Oryctolagus cuniculus: one gene and its partners. The protein of the gene in region 4 binds, or shares a complex with, the protein of the main gene of each other region. Links are inferred from orthologs where the notes say so. Each region holds a gene or a part of one and is shown on either strand. Other genes may lie near its edges.

Region 1 (4,006 bases), on a different chromosome or scaffold from region 4:
TTAAATATGGAAAAGTAAACAAAGCAGGAATATGTATTTAATCTGGCAGCCTATTTCCTTATTGTATGAACATGCAAAAACCCACCTGTTCAAACTTTGCACATGATCCCACAAGCACAGTACTGACAGCTTGATGGCCTGGCTGTATTTTAGCATTTTGTAGTTCAGCACCTTCACAAATCCTAAAATGCACATTGAAAGACTTATCTCTCCCACAGGTAACCAAATCTGTTTGTTTATAAGGAAAATGGTGATTTTCTATCTAATATGTGTTTTATGGTACATATAAATAAAATAAAAAATGAATTTCAACTTTTTAAAAAACCTGTGCAATATAATATTTGCCCACAAACCTGCAGATTTTCAGGGAGTATGTGATATCTGCTGGGGTGGTTGAAAACTATAATACATATTTAGATGTGTTTATGGTTGTTACTTTTCAGGATGAGCCAAATTACCCACTGTTTCAAAGCACACTGGCTTTTATTCCCTGGGTACCAAATCAATACCAATCCTTCCAGCACTGCAGCTGTTGCCTAATGGCCCCAAAGAGTTAATGTGCTGCCTGCATAGAACACATTTGGGTGTCTACACAAAGTGGGCCCTCAATTAGTGTTGACGGATTGACTTTCTCACAGGCAGTAAAAGCTCAATTTATAGAAATGGATCCCATGAGATTAAAAGCAATCATTTCAGAAAATTGTGTGTTGAATTCTATGTTTGTAATAATACAATATCTATGAATAAAAGAACTATATGTATTTTTCCCATTGTTCTAAGAATGGAGTTTTCTAATTCACTGTTAGATTGTAAGACATTCCCAAGGATTTTAAGTTATAATTCACACATAGGAAGACCACAAAATTTGGATAATTTCACAAAAGTATTCTGATTATGATATAGGAGTGCTTATGAAGAATCTTAAGAGCCAAATATCTGAAGACACAAGCACCATCGACTTTCAGTGAGAATGAATGATTTGATTGCTCACTGCTGGTCATATTGATTGTGTAGATTTTTTACAACGTCCTACGTTATCTTAGGCTCTTGCTAAGGAAGATCTTCATGTTTGTGAAGATGTGCCAGAAGTTACCATTTAATTTGGAAGCATAATTAATTTCCTCTTCAGGATCCAGCATGGCTGGATGGTTTCAGTCCTGGATCAGGTGACAGATCAGAGAGCATCCTCTTAGTCAAAGCAGAATTTTATGACGGAGGGAATGGGCTGTTGGGTACCTCGGCAGACATTACTCTGGCATCCTGCGTCCAGGCCAGAGCTGTGCTCTACATTAGAAAAACTTTGAGCAAATAAAGCCACAAGTATCTTAACGCTGCAGAATGGGAAGTGGAATTAGCTCAGAGAGCAAGGAGTCAGCCAAAAGATCCAAGGAACTGGAGAAAAAGCTCCAAGAAGATGCTGAGCGAGATGCACGAACTGTAAAGTTGCTACTATTAGGTAACAGGTTCTTTTTAATTTTTGCTTTCAAAAATCTGTTTTCCTTCAACTGTGTGTTTACTTTCTTCAAAGTTTAATTTCAAATGTATTACTGTGAAGATTTATTATGAAAATGTGCACTTTATAAATATTTCATAATAATTTTCTGTTTATTATTTCATTACATTTTTATTAAGGAAAGAGATGAATATTTACTAGATGACTCAATTTCTCTGTCAACAATATGATTTACTCTTAGTAAAAAGAAACATTATATATTTGTTATTTTATTGCACCCTGATCATTCCCTGAATGCCATTTTCTAATACTGAAAACAGCTCTCTAATTATGTTATAAAGAACTGTATTATTTGTTTGAGCAGAAATGCTCCATTGTTTTACATCAAAGTTAATATGTTGTTTATTTACTTGTGATGGTAAAATCAATAAGTCTCAAGTTACTTAGATAGTATTCATAAAGTACCTTTATTTATGGTAATAACATGATTCAGACTCCCAAGTGCTGCCTGTGATATTATATGTACTCGTGACAAATACTCCATTTAAATCCTTCTACAGCATTTATAATAGTTATCCTATTCAGGAATTGTCTTTTCTATTTTTTTCCTTCTGTTTTACCACAACTATAAGTTCAATAAGTGATCAAGTAGTCAAAAGAATCAAACTAACCAGAATGCTAAACATTTTCATAAAACATTTAACCTGCCGTGGTACTAAAACAGGCATGCTTTTGCAATAAAATAAATTCTTGCAGAAAGCACAAACTTTAATTAAATTAGAATAGTGTATTTTCCCTGATCTTAGTTATACATATACACAAAAGCACTTCATTTTATTTCAGAGTTGTGAATCTCACACAACAAATTGCCCCATTTCTGAGTGCTCCTTAGCTATGCCAATTTGCTCCCAGTGGCAAAAATGAACAACTGTAGAATCCCCAGCACTTGCTCCTCAAAGGAAAGGGTATGTTCTCCTGTTGATACACAGGTCCTGTGGCCGCACACATGCCCCTAGCATTTGTAGGCTCCCAGCTGGAGTTTAGGGACTTAGAAAGATATTGGGATCAGAGCTTACAGAATCAGCAAATGTGCTTTCTTTAACACTTCAGAGAAGTCTCAAAGGCTCTGATCAAGAGTGAAAATAAAGTAGATATAGATAAAACAAACAAAAGGCATGAGGCAAAGCCAAGCACATCTACAAGAGCCTTTTATATTCTTTTATACTAAGAACAGTGGTTCAAGAGTGGTGCGAAAATACATTAAGAATTCTTGTGTTTGAACAAAATTTTGCAAGAATAACATGGATTCTCATATTCTAATTATCTTCCTTTTTACATTTTCCTTATTATTTCATAAAAATAAAAATAGAAATCCAAAAAGTAGGGAGGCTAATGCTACAATTCAAAGGAAAATATCATTAAATATGCCCAAAGCAATGACTCTGGAGATGAGTATATTAGAATAGCTGGTCCCTTGGAGATTTGATTGTGGAGAGAATAGGTTAAAGAATATGTACACATAACCCAAAATACATAATGCATAGCCAAAAACTGAGTCAAAAATATGCAGTGTAATGATAAAGGAACTGGATTTTTTCCTGAAACTTTGGATTGAGATTCAGAATATTTATCTGGGCTTCCAGAATCAGAAAATTTGCAGCGAATGATGTTGGCCCAATTTATTATAGAAAATACTGTCAGATGAAGCAAGAACCACACCAACTACTTTCGATTTAGGTGGTAGGTTTTGACAAGAAGAAAGAGCAACATTGTACCAGAGATCTAGAAGAATCATATATGTTCTATATGTTCTACTTTCCCAAGATGATCACTGTTTTGTATATCCAGTTTCAACATTATCATATAGTACGCTTACATTTTTTTGGTTCCAACAATATATGTGTTAAAACTCTCAGTCACATGTTTCCCGAATACAAAATGAATCAAATCCTCTTTAATATTTCCTATTTCAGCCAAATATTTTCCCTTCTGGACTCTACTTGACGTCCATGTGTGATAATGATTCAATCATGAGATTCAAAACAGCGAAGGCCTTCAGTGATTCTGCTTCATTGTCATTTTGGACTTGAACTAATGCTCTCTACACTCTCATTTTTAGTTCCAATTTGGCCATAAATGTATATCTGAACCTTTCCACTCCCACACTCAAGTCACCTCACCAATGGAATCTATTTAATCTGCCCCACTATTGAAACAATGTCCTGTCTCACCATTGTGGTCGAAACACCAGTTATTAAGTCTGCCAGTGAGTGTATGTCTCATAGGACAAATCAATTTAATCTTGGTAGTTATCAATTTCTGAATATGGTCCTACATTTACAAAAATGAAAAATCTAGAAACAGCTTCAGCACAATACATTCTTTACAGTGATCCTCATTACCTGATGAATGGGTGCTTAGACACAACACACCAGCTTTCTAAACTCAATGTGTATACACAAGATTTCACTGACTCCAAAGAGCTATCAGATTGCTACTTTCCAAATAAAAGACCCTCTTGCACAGGTTCCTTTCTTATGGCATCTTTTAGGT
Region 2 (3,511 bases), on a different chromosome or scaffold from region 4:
CCCGTTTTAAAAAATTTACTTATTTGAAAGGCAGAGCACCAGAGAGAGAGAGAGAGAGAGAGAGAGAGAAATTTTCCATCTACTGGTTCACTCCCCAGATGGCCACGATAACTAGATCTGAGCCAGGCTGAAGCCAGGAGCCTGGAACTCCATCTGGGTCTCCTTCCATGGGTGACAGGGGCCTAAGCACATGGACCATTATCTACTGCCTTCCCAGGTGCATGGACAAGGATGGAGCAAAATTGAACAACTGGCACGCCAAGAGGCGATACTGGCATCTCAAGTCGCGGCTTAACCTGCTGTTCCACAATGCTGTCTCCGCATGGCCCTCTTTTAAGTTCTTGGGTGTGTTTGGGGCCAAATGATTCCCAGGAAACTGAAAACCATGCTAAGATCCCCCCACCCCGATCCCCGGCCAGACTTGAGGGGTGACTAGGAGCTGGGCCAGAGCATGCTAGGGAATGTCAGATGAGAGGTCACTCAGAAGGCTGCAGAGCACAACCTGTTGTCCCAGAACCCCACGGTTCCCAAGATGGGCAAGGCCTGCTGCAAACCAGCTGCCACCGAGCACCCAGTCCCAGGGCCGTGGCCCGCTCTTCGGACGAGCTCTGCTGCACGAAAGGCCGGGATCCAGTCCCACCTCCAGGGACCCCTTCCTCCTCCAGTCACCTTTAAACGCAATGTCTGCTTTCGCCAGTGCTTCTGCGCAGTCCAGCTCGTTAAGAGCACAGATGAGAGGATGTGGGCTACCTTGGGCTCCAGCAAAGCTCTGTAAAGAGCTTCCTGTACGCACTGGAGGCAGGATAAACCACAGCTGCTTCGGCGCCTGGGGAGGTCCACGAGGGAAGTCCTTCCCCAGGGAGGCAGTACAAGCTTCCCGCTGTCCGGGAACTGGCTCAGGATGCTGCTCCGGCCGTGTGTGCTGGCCCGCCCCACCTTCTGGCCCGGACAGAGGAGGCAGGGTGTGGTGCGCACAGGCTCTGCAGGGAGAGCCCACACAGCTGTGCGGCCGAGGATGAGCTGCAAGGCTGAGAGGGTGGGCCTGAGCCTCTGGCCTTGACGTGGTGCGTGCATGGATGGGGGGGCCCACTCTCCGTCAGACCTGGCTTCCTGACCCTGGAGATGCTGCCAGACCTGGGGGAGCCCACGCCCATCCCTACCCCCACTAAGGCCCAGGCTCCCTGCCCCCTCTCTCTGTTGTTGGGGAACCCGCAGCCTGCTGAGTGATAGAGGAGATGTGGGGGAGAGTGTGTGCCGCTTTGAGGTGCACACAGGAAGGTCTCCGCCTCACCCTCCTGGGGACCACTCTGATCCCCCAAGAGCAACCGTATTCAGCCCCTGGAGACTCCAGCCTGGGCTTGTTGCTGGCACCCACCAGAAGGCTCTGCAGCCCACTGTGCAGCTCACGACGTCTCAGAGGCTGGCTGTGGCCTCTGGCCTTGCGTGATTGGTTTCAGCCACAGAACACTGTAGACATTCAGTAACCCAGAGCAGGCCAAGAGGCCTGAGGACGCTGCTGGCCTGCCCTGAGGACTCGCGGACGCTGTCTGCTCCACTCCAGGTGGTCCCAAGGCCCCTGATTCCTCTCCCCAGGAAGCCGAGAACGGAACTCGGAGCTTGGAAAAAGCCCCACGGCAAACCAAGTCTCAGAGAGTCGCCGGCGGCTTTTGTGGTTATCAGTCTCCTGTCTGTTCTTCTTCCTGCAGAGACAAAATACTGCCAAGCAACGCCCTGACCAAGACGCTGACGCTGGTGCCCTTGCTGGCCAACAACCGAGAGAGAAGGGGCCTGGCCCTGGACGGGAAGATCAAGCACGAGGACACCAACCTCGCCTCCAGCACCATGTGAGTCCTCGGGCCACCGATGGCCGGGGGCCTGCTCCAGCCAGGCTGGCCGGCTCCGCCCCACTCATCTCCTCACCCTGTGGGCTCACAGGCACACCAGCAGGGCCCCACTCCCGCCCCTGGAACGATGAGGTGTCACACCTGTGGGCTCTGGACGCCACCTTGCCCTGTGCCAATCCCCACTCTGCTGGCTTCCCTCTGGCAGCTCCGGGAAGCTTTGTTCTCCCTTCCACGAAGTGGGGCTGATGGTAGTGCCGATCGCACAATGTGGTGGAAGGGCCAAGGAGCTGCTCCCCAGGCGCTGGCCGCGGCTTTTCTACCACATCGACAGCTGGCATGGTGCCCTGCGTACATAAACTGGGTCATGCAGTTGGCTTCATTCATTCGTTTCCATCAGGAAGGGGAAGGGGGGCAGAGATTAGTCCAGGGAAGATAAACACGGACCTGCGGCTGGGTTCCGGTAGCAGAGCTGGCAAAGGCCGTGCCATGGAGCTCTGAAGTGGGCATCCATGGCTGCTGTTCCCCGCCACCCTGTCAGGCTCCCGTTCACGTGGCAGAGCTGGGGACCCTGAGGGTTCAGGGAAGGAGCCGAGACCCGGGCTCAAAGCCTGCTTGTCCCCCTCTCCCTGGTGACGAGCTGAGGGCTCCCTCCATGGCCCCAGATGACCACCTCTGAGTCTGGTGTGTTTGACTCTGATGACCCCTAGCTCAGTAGCTCACATTCTGCGAGACCAAGGGTGGGGGACGGAAAGCAGGTGAGAGCCAGAGGACTTTCTGGGGACAATCTGCAGGCCATCGTGGTGGGTTCTTGAGCAACGTTTGAGAAGCCGAGAAGAGCGAATGTCAGGGACGCTGACCCCGGGATAAGCTTGTTCAGGGCGGAACCATCCCAACGCGGCGCTGCAGAAGTGCTGCCTGGCTTATGCCCCCGGCTACAGGCCTGTGTGCGCCTCCACACCTTGTGAGAGAGGGGTGTTTATGCTCACTTATGGATCCGGAAGTTGAGGTTGAGCCAGAATGAGGGGCTTACCCAAAGTCACCGGGTCAGTTAGTGGTGGAGAAAAGGTGGCCCCTCCCCAAGTTTCCCACTCTAGGAGGGTGGGGGGCAAGCTCCCTCGGCATCTCAGGCTCATGACAAAGCAGGTCCTGTCCCCAGCCGTTAGGCCCCATTCAGCACAGGTAGCGTCAGCCCCAGGAGAGGGTGGGCTCTCACACCTGCTCCCCTACTTCTGCCTTTGCTGACAACCTCTGTCTACCAAGCACTTGGCCACCGCCCACAATTCCACATGAAGCAATTTCGCCCTCTGATAGGGCTCTCCAGGGTTCTGTGAGCTGCTGGTGGTTCACTGTGCTCTCACTTGGCACGGGCGTGGTGCTGGGTGGTGGGCACATGGAGCTGTCGGGGACAGTCAAGGTCCATCATGATCCCCTTTAACCAGGGCTCTGTGTACCGTGTCTGTGAACAGAGTCCAGGGAAGCGAGGCCCAGTGCTACCTGGCAGGTGTCTGGGAAGGCATCACAAGGCAGAGGTGGGGAGGGGGCTTCCACTTGAGGCCTTAGGGGCAAGAGACAAAGAGGAGAACATTGTGGAGCAGGTGAGTGTTTGGCAAGGTTGGCACATGGGGTTCCTGGGGCAGAATCAGTATGAGATAGCAAAGGCAGGCCAA
Region 3 (4,033 bases), about 15 Mb from region 4:
CCAGGTTGGGCTTCCAGGACCTGGGAGTGCGGATGGAGCTGAGGATGAAATTGGCACAAATTAAATCATTTCCCGGCCACATCCCCGCTCACCCACCAAGGTGGGTGTGGACACAAGAGCCACTTCCTGTTCGGGGACAGCCCCCAGGGCTCCGTGTCTGGGGCCCTGGCACCCCCTCGTGGTCTCTGCGCCAGTTGAGTCCCAACAGGCAGGCAGCTTCCAGAGGGAGAGGCCAGCCAGGGGGCTCAGGGCCTCTGGGGGGGCCCTTGAGGCCTACATTGGGGTTTCCTGATGGCTGTCGGGGAGTGTCCAGCCTGAAGTGCTCAACAGGGCACCCAAAGTGCCGACAGGAGACAGCAGGGCAGCACCAGACCTGCTCCGGGATTCTGTGTCCCCGTGTGACCACAGGCCCCGCCACCTCTGCAGGTCTGAGACTGTTGTGTCCAAATGCACACGCAGGCGTAGGCATAGGCACTGTGTGCCCCTGTAAACAGCACACACAGGCTCCTTGGCATTCGCGTAGGCATGCACCACACGCGTGAACCCACAGGATACCTTTGCACCTGAAGAGACGCACACAGGTGCCGCCACACACATGCACATCCATGTACTGGCAGGCACAGGACACTCACGTGGAAGAGCCCATGCACTTCACACAGGCATGGGACGTGCACACATGCACCCATGAGTGTACATGTCGTGTCGTTGCCTTGCATGGAGCCACACGCGACCAGGCTTGTGCAGCAGAGTCCGGCGGACGCATGGACGTGTGCGGAGGTCCTGCCCTCTGTGGGGCAGTGCAGTGCTTCCCTTCCTCCTCCTAACTCCCTGCGGGGCTCTGCTCCAAGCCACCTGGCTCTCCACACGCACCACCTGCTGAGTGGCCCTTTGAGCCTCTGCTGGGCAGGTGTAGGTGCCCCACGCCTGCTTCTGCCTCCCTGCCCCCAGGGCTGGAGGACCCGTGCTTCCCTTTTGGAGCGCCAACCCTCTTGAAGGTGTCTCCTTGCTCTGGGGTGGAGGCAGGGCCGTGTCTAGGATCCTTCCTGGAGGGCTGGGGAGGGGACACAGGGGTGCAGAGTCAGCGGTGCAAGGATTGGGGCCACGCCAGCCTGATTAGAAAGGTTGGGGGACTGAGCTGGATTCACCTGTCCTTGTCTCTGATTGGCTCTTGGGCACTCCTAGCCCCCAAATCCCACTAAGCAGCCCCCCCTCCCAGGGCCCCCACAAGTCTGCAGAGAGCCATTTGATTGCCAGTCCCAGGACCAGAAAGGCAGCAGGGGAGGCCAGAGGCTGGCCTGAGCCTGGCTCTTAGGACCCCCTGCGTCCAGAAGAACTGCCTGCCCACTCTGTGCCCTCAGCTGTTGTTGGAACATGGGGGCCGGGGCCAGTGCCGAGGAGAAGCACTCCAGGGAGCTGGAGAAGAAGTTGAAAGAGGACGCGGAGAAGGATGCTCGGACGGTGAAGCTGCTGCTGCTGGGTAGGGCCCCGCGGGGCATCAATGGTGGGGTGGTGGCCTGGGCACAGAGCAGGAACCCTGGCCAGGGCAGGGCACAGGGCAGGAACCCTGGCCACGCATTCCCGGAGGCTGGGCATCCATGGAGAACCTCTCCAGAGGGCCCCGCCTCGGGAAGTTGCCACTCCCCAGGGGTGTGTGCCAAGTTCACTCTGACCCAGTGTGTGCAGAAGGCACACTCTGGTCCCTGCCTGCGCCCTCACACTCCAGCCTTGGGTTTGGTGGGCCTGCTGGGCAGAGCTCAGGAACTAGGGGCCTCACTGGGAGCCCCACATCCAGCTGCTCCCTTGGGAAGGAGGCCACCATCCCCCAGGGAGTAGGGTGACTCCAGGACCATCTGGATTTACAAAAATGGTCCCCAGGTGCCAGGGCAAAGCAGGTGGAGGGGTGTGGAAGGTTAACAAAGCCTAGGCCATGGTTCCATGGATAGTGTAGCGAGGGGAGGTGGGACTGATCCAGGCCTGCCCCAAGGCCACTGCCAATCCCCCACCACCACCACCAAGGGAAAGGACCTGCATTAAGAGAAAGGGGCAGACTCCACCCAGTCAAGCTGGAGGTATCCGTAGAGACCAAGCCGGGTTAGAGGAGGCAGAGAGGCTAAGCCGGAAATCCCATTAACTATGTCCAAGGCCCTCGCGGGGACAGGATCAGAAAGGATGTCAGCTCTGTCCTCTCTCCCACCCAAAGGCGCTAATTCTCTCTGAGCCTCTTGGAGCCCGCCCACCTTCCTTGTGGAGAAAAACAGGGGGTGACCCGGCTCAAATTATCCCGCGCGGGCAGCACCAGAGATGCCCACAAGGTGGCGCTCCAGGATTAGCTTGGTCTCAGCATACTACAGGCGGCAGGTCTCAGAGACCCGCGCGCACAGTGGTCGTCACCGGTCCCCCTCGTAGGCCTCTTTTGCTCACTTTCCTGACATCCACATGCGGCCTTCCACCAGGGCGTCGGTACTTGACTCTGTATCGGGGCGGGGGGGGCGGGTCGGGGTGACTGGGGTCGGCCGGCAGGTCCACCCGTCCACCCCACGCTCGGCGTCGGGACCAGGGGACACTGGGCGCTGCTCTGAGGCATGGCCTCCCTTTCAGGTGCTGGTGAGTCCGGGAAGAGCACCATCGTCAAGCAGATGAAGTGAGTGCCCTCGCCCGGCCTGGGGTCCCGCGGTGGGGATGGGCGCGCGTGCGCCTCACCGCCGGCCCCACAGGCCGCTGACCCTGCTCGCCCTGGCCACAGGATTATCCACCAGGACGGGTACTCTCTGGAAGAGTGCCTGGAGTTCATCGCCATCATCTATGGCAATACGCTACAGTCCATCTTGGCCATCGTGCGCGCCATGACCACACTCAACATCCAGTACGGAGACTCTGCGCGCCAGGTGCGCTGGGAACGGGCGGAGCGGGACTTGGGTGGGGGTGGGGGGCTCGGGGCGCGCGCGGCGGGGCCCTGGTGGCCACCGACGCCTCGCGCCCTGCCCGCAGGACGACGCCCGCAAGCTGATGCACATGGCAGACACCATCGAGGAAGGCACGATGCCCAAGGAGATGTCGGACATCATCCAGCGGCTGTGGAAGGACTCGGGTATCCAGGCCTGCTTCGAGCGCGCCTCCGAGTACCAGCTCAACGACTCGGCGGGCTAGTGAGCGCGGGCGGCTCGGGGCGCGGGCACGGGCGGGCCCTGCCCTGGGGCGCCGCGCCGCCCGCGCGCCCACACGCCGGCTCTCCGCAGCTACCTCTCGGACCTGGAGCGCCTGGTGACCCCGGGCTACGTGCCCACCGAGCAGGACGTGCTGCGCTCGCGAGTCAAGACCACCGGCATCATCGAGACACAGTTCTCCTTCAAGGACCTCAACTTCCGGTACGACGGCGCGGCTGCGCGGAGCGCGGGGCACCGGGCGGCGCTGGGAGGCGCGGGGCGGGGGCGGCGGTGCGCGCGCGGCCCCCGGGGCGCCGAGGCGCGGGCTCAGGCTCCCGCCGCCGCCGGCGCTGTTGCCCCGCAGGATGTTCGACGTGGGCGGGCAGCGCTCGGAGCGCAAGAAGTGGATCCATTGCTTCGAGGGCGTGACCTGCATCATCTTCATCGCGGCGCTCAGCGCCTACGACATGGTGCTGGTGGAGGACGACGAGGTGGTGAGTGCCCGGCGGGGCCCGGGGCCGACGCGGGGGCAGCGCGGAGGCCGCCGCCGGCCCCCCCGGTGCCCGACAGCCGCTGCCCGCCCCGCCCCCCGCAGAACCGCATGCACGAGAGCCTGCACCTGTTCAACAGCATCTGTAACCACCGCTACTTCGCCACCACGTCCATCGTGCTCTTCCTGAACAAGAAGGACGTCTTCTCCGAGAAGATCAAGAAGGCCCACCTCAGCATCTGCTTCCCGGACTACGACGGTGCGCGGCGCGGCGCGGGGCGGCCTCTGGGCGGCGTCCAGGGCCCGCGGTCCGGGCCGGGAGTGAGACCCGCGCGCTCTCCACAGGGCCCAACACCTACGAGGACGCGGGCAACTACATCAAGGTGCAGTTCCTGGAGCT
Region 4 (3,057 bases):
GCGCTTCAGCTCACACGGGCACGCACACACACACACATACACACACAGCAGCCAGGAGGCCGGGCAGGGCGTGAGGATTCCCATTTTATGGGGGAAGCAAGTGGGACCCCAGGGAGAGAGATACAACTTATGCAACTCGTCAGCCAGGTGCGAGCTGCTTCCGCCAAGGGAGCTGGAGACAGCGGGTGTGTTGTCCCGGCCCACTCGTCCCTTCATTCATTCCTCCACTCACTCCTTCATCCATTCTGTCCTTCCTCCATCTAGCATTTATTAAGCACCTACTGTGTGCCCCGTTCTGTGCTAGATTCTGAGCCCTAAGCTGGGACACTTTTCCAGAGAGCAAGAGTTCTTTTGTTCCTGAGAGATGAGTTAGGGGAGGAGGGAAACAGGCAGGTCCCATGGGCCCCTGGGAACCTGGGACTCCAGGTCGGGGTCTCGGTGGGTGCCTCGTCTTGGGCTGCCCCGCTGAGAGGGGAGCATCATTTTTCTCATTATTTTTTTTTTCTTTAGGGGAAAACAACCCTCTCACGGAGCCTGCGAAACTTGGTTCTGACAGGCGCCGCTCCTGGTGGGGTGGCTGTGGCTGGGGGTGGGGTGTGAGGGATGGGAGACTCCTACAGTCGGCCACGGAGTCCCTGGCAGCGCTTAGGCCGGGGCCACCTGGCTGGTCTCCGTCTTGGAAGCGGTGGCAGAGGCCTCGTCGTCACCCAGTGGGTTCTTGCCGCAGCAGATGGTGGTGAGCATGCAGTTCCGGAACTGGAAGGCAAGAGGCATGGGTCAGGCTGCAAGGCCGCGCCGTGTGGAGCCGGGGTGGCGTGGTCAGCGAGACCTGCCTCCGCGCCCTTCCCCGCTCGGCCCTCTCGCACCAGTCTGGGTCTCTGGGGGCAACCTTGCATCTACATCTTGCCCCCAGAGATGCCAGCGGCCAACCCCAGGGGCTCGGCTACGGAGGACACTGCGGGGCGCCCTCTGAGTCCGGGATTCTGCCGTTTCTAAGCTTGAGGCCGCCAAAGCCCAAAGAAGGGAATGAAGCTGTCCAAGGTCATGCAGGACCCGATCTGCCTGACTCGAGGGGCCATGGGTCCCCCACTCATGGCTTCCGCAGATAAGCCACTGGCTTCTAGCCTTTCAGCTCCTTGCTAAGCTTTCCGGAGACCAGCACCATCTTACCCCCAGGCTCAGGTCACGTGAGCCTTAAAGTAGAGTCCAGAACCAGGGTGAGGGGTGCTTCTCACACATGAGCAAGCACTGGCCCTCCCCCCACCCCCAACAAGGTCCTGGGCCTCCGCCAGGCCAGCCAGGCAGAATCTCAAAGGCGGGGCCCAACAACCTGCCCTTCTCATAAGCTCCCAGCTGAAGGGGGTGTGGCCTCCAGGAGCCCCGGGGGAGGCCCCCTCCCCTCCCCAGCCTGCAGGCACCTGCTTGTTCATCATGATGTAGATGACAGGGTTGTAGATGGAGGAACTCTTGGCGAAGAACGCCGGGATGGTCATGAAGATGGGCCCGAAGTTGGAGCCCTGGTGGGTGAAGATGTAGAACGCCACGCTGGCGTAGGGCACCCAGCAGATCAGGAAGGCGATGACCATGATGATGACCATGCGGGTCACTTCCTTCTCTGCCTTCTGCGTGGTGGCCGACTCCTGCTGCTGGGCAGCTGCCTGCAGGGACACAAGGCCGGTGTCTGGGCTGCGGTGCCCAGCACCTGTCCCCAGCACCCAGCTAGGGGCCCTGGAGGGCAGAGGAGGAGACTAGACCGCCTGCGGGGCAAGGCCAGCCCCGACCGTACCTCCTTGACGGTAAAGACGAGCTGCCCGTAGCAGAAGAAGATGATGATCAAAGGGATGGTGAAGTGGACCACGAACATATAGATGACGAACGACTCGTTGTTGACCTCGGGCTTGAGCGTGTAGTAGTCGATTCCGCACGAGCACTGCATGCCCTCAGGGATGTACCTGAGCGTGGGGCGGGGCTCATCAGGGAGACTGCCCACCCCCCACAGAGGGGCTTGGGATTGGCCCAGCCGATGCACTGGCTGGTCACTAGCCCCTCTCCCGGCCCCCCTTCTCCCCACTCCCTGTAAACAGACTGACTTGGCCCGAGGGTGGGATGATTTCTGGGAAACCGTGTTGTGGTGGGCCTGGCGGCCTGGTGGCTCTGTCACCAGGCGAGACCGCCCAGCCTCCCCGCACTGTTGTGTGCCCGCCCCAACATCTCCCTGCTGCCTCAACTGCCTGGCATCTCTTCACAGCCCCTGCCGCTAGTGCCCTTGGACGTTGGCGGAGAGGAGGGGAAAGCCCCCAGCTCCGCTTTCCAGGCAGGTTGGACAACCCAGGTCTGCAAGCCACAGGGGAGCAGCATGTTCTAGGCCTAAGAGAGCCACCCGGGGATTCTAAGGAAACAAGAGGTGCCTGGGGCATGTCGCTGGTGACATTGGACTGGCCTCTGAAAACCCCGAGCACACAGCGTCCACACTAACAGGCAGTGACGGGCACCTACCAGGAGAAGATGGAGAAAGAGGCCAGGGCAGGGAGGGCTCGAATTCAGCCAGGGCCTGGAAGGGGACCCCAGGCCGAAGAAAGGAGGGTGGGATGTGGAGCTGTCCCCTAAGCAGCCAGTATGGCCATCTATGCCACCTTCCTTTATCTTAACCTACTTGGGAGACTGGCTGGGGGTTGGGTATGACCCTGTCCCCAGGAGCCGCAGTGGCACCAACTCTGGGGTTACTCCAAAAAGTGCATGGAACGTGGAATGAAAAAAATAGTAGTTTGGGGCCAGCACTGTGGTACAGCAGATTAACAAGCTGCTTGGAATGCCAGCATCCCATATGGGTGCCGGTTCAAGTCCTGCTACTCCACTTCTTTTTTTTTTTTTTTTTTTTTTAAAGGCAGAGTTACAGAGAGAGATCTTTTTTTTTTTTTTTGACAGGCAGAGTGGACAGTGAGAGAGAGAGACAGAGAGAAAGGTCTTCCTTTGCCGTTGGTTCACTCTCCAATGGCCGCCGCGGCCGGCGCGCTGCGGCCGGCGCACCGCGCTGATCCGATGGCAGGAGCCAGGAGC
Region 5 (3,995 bases), on a different chromosome or scaffold from region 4:
GGGGTGTTGTCCACCTCAAATATTTGCTCACCAGCCTGCATGCCACTGTGCTTGTTGGGAGGCTGCGGTGGACTCAGTCTGCGGGTTCTCATTTCTGCCTGATTGGCCACTGCGGAGGAGCCCAAGTCCATCTGCAGAACCCACTTCCTCCTGGACTGGCGGGGACTGCACTGTGCCCTGGACCCTGGCTCGGCATGCTGGGGAGTGCTGAGCTGCCTCCCAGCCCCTGCAGCCCCTGCACCTCCCTGCCACCCTCCCCTGTATGGTCACTGAGCTCCACGGACGCCGAACAAGGCAGACAAGGCTGTCCCTCATGGAGCCGGCATTCCTGGTGGTTCTGCCGCCCCTGGGTGTGCCCCAGGTGTGTCTCAGGAGTGGCCCAGGTGCTCAGGTGTGCCCCAGCCGTGTCCTGGGTGTCTCACGTGTGCTCCAGGTGTTCTCCAGGTGTGTCTCATGTGTGCCCCAGGCGTGTCTCACGTGTGCCCCAGGTGTGTCTCAGGAGTGGCCCAGGTGCTCAGGTGTGCCTCAGCTGTGTTCCAGGTGCCCCAGGTGTGCTCCAGGTGTGCCCCAGCCGTGGCCCAGGTGTCTCACGTGTGCCCCAGGTGTGCCCCAGCCGTGGCCCAGGTTTCTCACGTGTGCTCCAGGTGTGCCCCAGCCGTGTCCTGGGTGTCTCATGTGTGCTCCAGGTGTTCTCCAGGTGTGCCTCATGTGTGCCCCAGGCGTGTCTCACGTGTGCCCCAGGTGTGTCTCAGGAGTGGCCCAGGTGCTCAGGTGTGTCTCATGTGTGTTCCAGGTGCCCCAGGTGTGCTCCAGGTGTGCCCCAGCCATGGCCCAGGTGTCTCACGTGTGCCCCAGGTATGCTCCAGGTGTGCCCCAGCCATGGCCCAGGTGTCTCATGTGTGCCCCAGGTGTGCTCCAGGTGTGCCCCAGCCGTGGCCCAGGTGTCTCACGTGTGCCCCAGGTGTGCCCCAGCCGTGGCCCAGGTGTCTCACGTGTGCCCCAGGTGTGTCTCAGGTGTAGCCCAGGTGCTCAGGTGTGCCCCAGCCGTGTTCCAGATGGCTCAGTGGTGCCCCAGATGTGCCTCTGCTGTGTCCTGGGTGTGTGGCCCAGGTATCTCAGGTGTGGCTCAGGTATGGCTCAGGTGTGTCCCTGGCTTCTGTGTTCTCATTGCCTGCTTTGCTCTGTGTGGGCCTCAGCCTGGGGTCACCCCAGGTTCCTCTTCTCCCTGGTTCTTTCTTTCACCTTAGCAAAGCTGCTTCTCTGCAAGTCCCAGGCGAGAAGAAGAAAAGCAATTTGGAGCTGGTGGTCTCGCCTTCAGAACCCCCCCCCCCCAGAAGCTGTTCTCCACATTCCTGTTATTGGCTGGTTTTCCTCTCACTTGCATTTTTCTTAAAACTAGAAATGGAGCATCATGGGGGAAACCAACCAGCCATCGTCACACAGTGAGTTTTCTCTGCAGAAGTGGTCAGTTCCAGCCCAGCTGCTGGGGCCGGGCGGTGGACAGGTCAGCTCAGGATGAATCTCATGCTCCTCCTGGGGGTTTGCCCTTCCTGGGGGAAAACGAAGCCAGGCCCCGAGCTGAAGGTCCGTCTAATCCGCCTCGGAGCGGCTTAGGGGATTGTCTGCACCTGCCGGTGACCCCATGTGTCTCGGTGACCCTGACTGGGATTTAGCCAGTGCTGCGTCAGCCCTGGGTGGCAGGGGCTTCCCAGCAGGTGGCCAGCATCCTCGCCTCAGAGGACATCTCCCTCGTCCTGGGAGGGCAGGAACGGGCCACAGGCCAAGGACAGAGGGTCAGTCCTCAGCTGATGACTCCTTGTGCTTGAAGTGGGCGGGAGGTCAGCGCCAGGATGGATTTCGGAGCCTTGGAGACGGTGGTGGCCAACTCTGCCTTCATCGCCGCCCGGGGCAGTTTCGATGGCAGCATCGCCCCATCCTCCCGGGACAAGAAGTACCTGGCCAAGCTCAAGCTGCCCCCGCTGTCCAAGTGCGAGGGTCTCCGGGCTGGCCTCAGCCTGGAGTTCGACAGCCTGTGCTCGGAGCAGCCCATCGGCAAGCGGCTCTTCCAGCAGTTCCTGGGGACGGACCAGAGGCACGTGCCGGCCCTGGAGCTCTGGAAGGACATTGAGGACTACGACACGGCCGACGACGACCTGCGGCCACAGAAGGCCCGGGCCATCCTGGCCGAGTACCTGGACCCCCAGGCCAAGCTCTTCTGCAGCTTCCTGGATGAGGGGACGGTGGCCAGGGTGAAGGAGGGGCCCGTGGCCAGCCAGGACGGCCTCTTCCAGCCGCTGCTGCAGGCCACCCTGGCACACCTGAGCCAGGCCCCCTTCCAGGAGTACCTGGACAGCCTGTACTTCCTGCGCTTCCTGCAGTGGAAGTGGCTGGAGGCCCAGCCCATCGGGGAGGACTGGTTCCTGGACTTCAGGGTCCTGGGGAAAGGGGGCTTTGGGGAGGTGTCGGCCTGCCAGATGAAGGCCACCGGCAAGATGTACGCCTGCAAGAAGCTGAACAAGAAGCGGCTGAAGAAGAGGAAGGGCTACCAGGTGAGTGGGAGGCAGCCGCGGGCAGGCGGAGGGGACTGGCTGAGGTTCCGGCTGGGGCTCCGGCAGGCGGGGGGATGTGCTGGGGCTCCGGCAGGCGGTGGGGACTGGCTGGGGTTCCGGCTGGGGCTCCGGCAGGCGGGGGGATGTGCTGGGGCTCCGGCAGGCGGGGGGACTGGCTGAGGTTCCGTCTGGGGCTCCGGCAGGCGGGGGGACTGGCTGAGGTTCTGGCTGAGTTTCTGGCTGGGGCTCCGGCAGGCAGAGGGGACTGCCTGAGGTTCCGGCTGGGGTTCCGGCTGGGGCTCCGGCAGGCGGGGGGATGTGCTGGGGCTCCGGCAGGTGGGGGGGACTGGCTGAGGTTCTGGCTGGGGCTCCGGCAGGCAGGGGGATGTGCTGGGGCTCCGGCAGTCGGGGGGACTGGCTGAGGTTCTGGCTGGGGCTCCGGCTGGGGCTCCATCTTGGTGGGAAGCCTGCTGAGATTCGCAGGGGCCCCCGGCTGGCGTGTACATGGGGGCAGCGGGGCCTCGGCAGTGCCGTGGCTGCAACATCAGTCCCACCTGGTCGCTGTACCTTGGGCCGCAAGCTTGTGATCCCGGAGTGAGTGGAAGGGAAGAGCGTTTTCCGGGGGGCTGTCCCCTGGGCTCCTGGCCCCACTCTCGGGAAGCCCCTGCTGAAGGCCCTGCTTTTGCTGCGACAGAGGCACACGAGGACGGCAGGGCTGTGTCCGCCCGGCATCCCGGACCCTCAGGGTGTGCAGGAGTGCTGTTCCCCAAATGCCACTGTTTCCCAGGGACCGGGGTGGTGGGGCCCCTCCTGTTCGACCCCTGCTGTCGCTGGTGTCCATGTCCGTCTGGGCAGGATCAGGGAAAGCTGCTTAGTCTCCTGGCATGGGTGGGGCCGCACAGCAGCCACCTCCGGTGTCTCGGCCCTTGACCCTGAGCCGGAGGTTAGCTGGGGTGTCGGTGGAAGTGACCGTGGCTGCTGTCGGATTCGAGGTGAGGTCAGTGCACGCCCGCTGGCCGTCTGCAGGGAGGGCGTCCCTCCCACACGGGCTCCAGGCACCGTCCCGAGCGCGGGGAGTGGCACGTCACGTTTGCAGTGGCTTGGGAAGAGGCATGGAGAGCGGGGCAAGAGTCTGGCAGGCTGAGCCTCCCCTGGCTGGGCTGAGCAGGACTCCCCAGTGCCCTGTGTGGACGGACGGGCACGCGGGACGCGACTGGAAGGGTTGACAGTCTGGCTTGAAACAGATTCCCTGCGCGCCGGTCTCCATGGCGCCCTCCCGCCCTCGGGCCCGGCGTGAGTTCTCTTCCCGCGTCTGCCTCTCAGGGTGCCATGGTGGAGAAGAAGATTCTAGCAAAAGTGCACAGCCGGTTCATCGTGTCCTTGGCCTACGCGTTTGAAACCAGGACGGACTTGTGCCTGGTGATGACCATCATGAACGGCGGCGAC

The links.
Region 1: the proteins of RHO (region 4) and GNAT3 are in contact, whole or in part, in a crystal structure (PDB 4A4M), measured with the Bos taurus proteins. The link is inferred for Oryctolagus cuniculus from reciprocal best matches to the Homo sapiens genes RHO and GNAT3. Residues at the interface, in NP_001014890.1 of Bos taurus: Leu72, Arg135, Val138, Val139, Lys141, Thr229, Val230, Ala233, Thr242, Thr243, Lys245, Ala246, Glu249, Val250, Asn310, Lys311, Gln312; in NP_001103452.1 of Bos taurus: Ile344, Asn347, Leu348, Lys349, Asp350, Cys351, Gly352, Leu353, Phe354.
Region 2: the proteins of RHO (region 4) and SAG are in contact, whole or in part, in a crystal structure (PDB 4PXF), measured with the Bos taurus proteins. The link is inferred for Oryctolagus cuniculus from reciprocal best matches to the Homo sapiens genes RHO and SAG. Residues at the interface, in NP_001014890.1 of Bos taurus: Arg135, Val138, Val139, Lys141, Leu226, Glu249, Val250, Met253, Met309, Asn310, Lys311, Gln312; in XP_010802144.1 of Bos taurus: Asp71, Ile72, Met75, Gly76, Leu77.
Region 3: the proteins of RHO (region 4) and GNAT1 are in contact, whole or in part, in a cryo-EM structure (PDB 6OYA), measured with the Bos taurus proteins. The link is inferred for Oryctolagus cuniculus from reciprocal best matches to the Homo sapiens genes RHO and GNAT1. Residues at the interface, in NP_001014890.1 of Bos taurus: Leu72, Arg135, Val138, Val139, Lys141, Ser144, Asn145, Phe146, Arg147, Val230, Ala233, Gln236, Gln237, Ser240, Thr242, Thr243, Lys245, Ala246, Glu249, Val250, Met253, Met257, Asn310, Lys311, Gln312; in NP_851365.1 of Bos taurus: Ala27, Arg28, Asp189, Leu190, Val312, Glu314, Tyr316, Asp333, Ala334, Asp337, Ile340, Lys341, Asn343, Leu344, Lys345, Asp346, Cys347, Gly348, Leu349, Phe350.
Region 5: the proteins of RHO (region 4) and GRK1 are in contact, whole or in part, in a cryo-EM structure (PDB 7MT8), measured with the Bos taurus proteins. The link is inferred for Oryctolagus cuniculus from reciprocal best matches to the Homo sapiens genes RHO and GRK1. Residues at the interface, in NP_001014890.1 of Bos taurus: Lys66, Lys67, Arg69, Thr70, Arg135, Val137, Val138, Val139, Lys141, Ser144, Asn145, Phe146, Arg147, Phe148, Glu150, His152, Leu226, Thr229, Val230, Ala233, Gln236, Gln237, Glu239, Thr243, Ala246, Val250, Met257, Ile305, Tyr306, Met309; in NP_776598.1 of Bos taurus: Leu6, Glu7, Thr8, Val9, Val10, Ser13, Ala14, Ile16, Ala17, Ala18, Arg19, Gly20, Asp23, Ala24, Glu184, Asp185, Trp186, Phe187, Leu188, Asp189, Phe190, Val192, Arg195, Glu200, Gln205, Met206, Lys207, Lys221, Arg222, Thr256.

Annotation. Positions count from the first base shown.
Region 1 is NC_091434.1:145,244,418-145,248,423, reverse strand, and holds the start of GNAT3 (guanine nucleotide-binding protein G(t) subunit alpha-3), read left to right. Parts: upstream 1-1,198; 5' UTR 1,199-1,338; coding exon 1,339-1,456; intron 1,457-4,006. UniProt on the Homo sapiens protein: Guanine nucleotide-binding protein (G protein) alpha subunit playing a prominent role in bitter and sweet taste transduction as well as in umami (monosodium glutamate, monopotassium glutamate, and inosine monophosphate) taste transduction.
Region 2 is NC_091434.1:6,225,768-6,229,278, reverse strand, and holds part of SAG (S-arrestin), read left to right. Parts: intron 1-1,706; coding exon 1,707-1,844; intron 1,845-3,511. UniProt on the Homo sapiens protein: Binds to photoactivated, phosphorylated RHO and terminates RHO signaling via G-proteins by competing with G-proteins for the same binding site on RHO. May play a role in preventing light-dependent degeneration of retinal photoreceptor cells.
Region 3 is NC_091441.1:99,122,381-99,126,413, reverse strand, and holds the start of GNAT1 (guanine nucleotide-binding protein G(t) subunit alpha-1), read left to right. Parts: upstream 1-1,229; 5' UTR 1,230-1,371; coding exon 1,372-1,477; intron 1,478-2,286; exon of another isoform or gene 2,287-2,460; intron 2,461-2,598; coding exon 2,599-2,641; intron 2,642-2,743; coding exon 2,744-2,885; intron 2,886-2,988; coding exon 2,989-3,146; intron 3,147-3,236; coding exon 3,237-3,365; intron 3,366-3,507; coding exon 3,508-3,637; intron 3,638-3,738; coding exon 3,739-3,892; intron 3,893-3,978; coding exon 3,979-4,033. UniProt on the Homo sapiens protein: Functions as a signal transducer for the rod photoreceptor RHO. Required for normal RHO-mediated light perception by the retina.
Region 4 is NC_091441.1:114,346,696-114,349,752, forward strand, and holds the end of RHO (rhodopsin), read right to left. Parts: intron 1,953-3,057; coding exon 1,787-1,952; intron 1,659-1,786; coding exon 1,419-1,658; intron 757-1,418; coding exon 646-756; 3' UTR 505-645; downstream 1-504. UniProt on the Homo sapiens protein: Photoreceptor required for image-forming vision at low light intensity. Required for photoreceptor cell viability after birth.
Region 5 is NC_091440.1:442,563-446,557, reverse strand, and holds the start of GRK1 (rhodopsin kinase GRK1), read left to right. Parts: upstream 1-1,191; 5' UTR 1,192-1,850; coding exon 1,851-2,549; intron 2,550-3,872; coding exon 3,873-3,995. UniProt on the Homo sapiens protein: Retina-specific kinase involved in the signal turnoff via phosphorylation of rhodopsin (RHO), the G protein- coupled receptor that initiates the phototransduction cascade.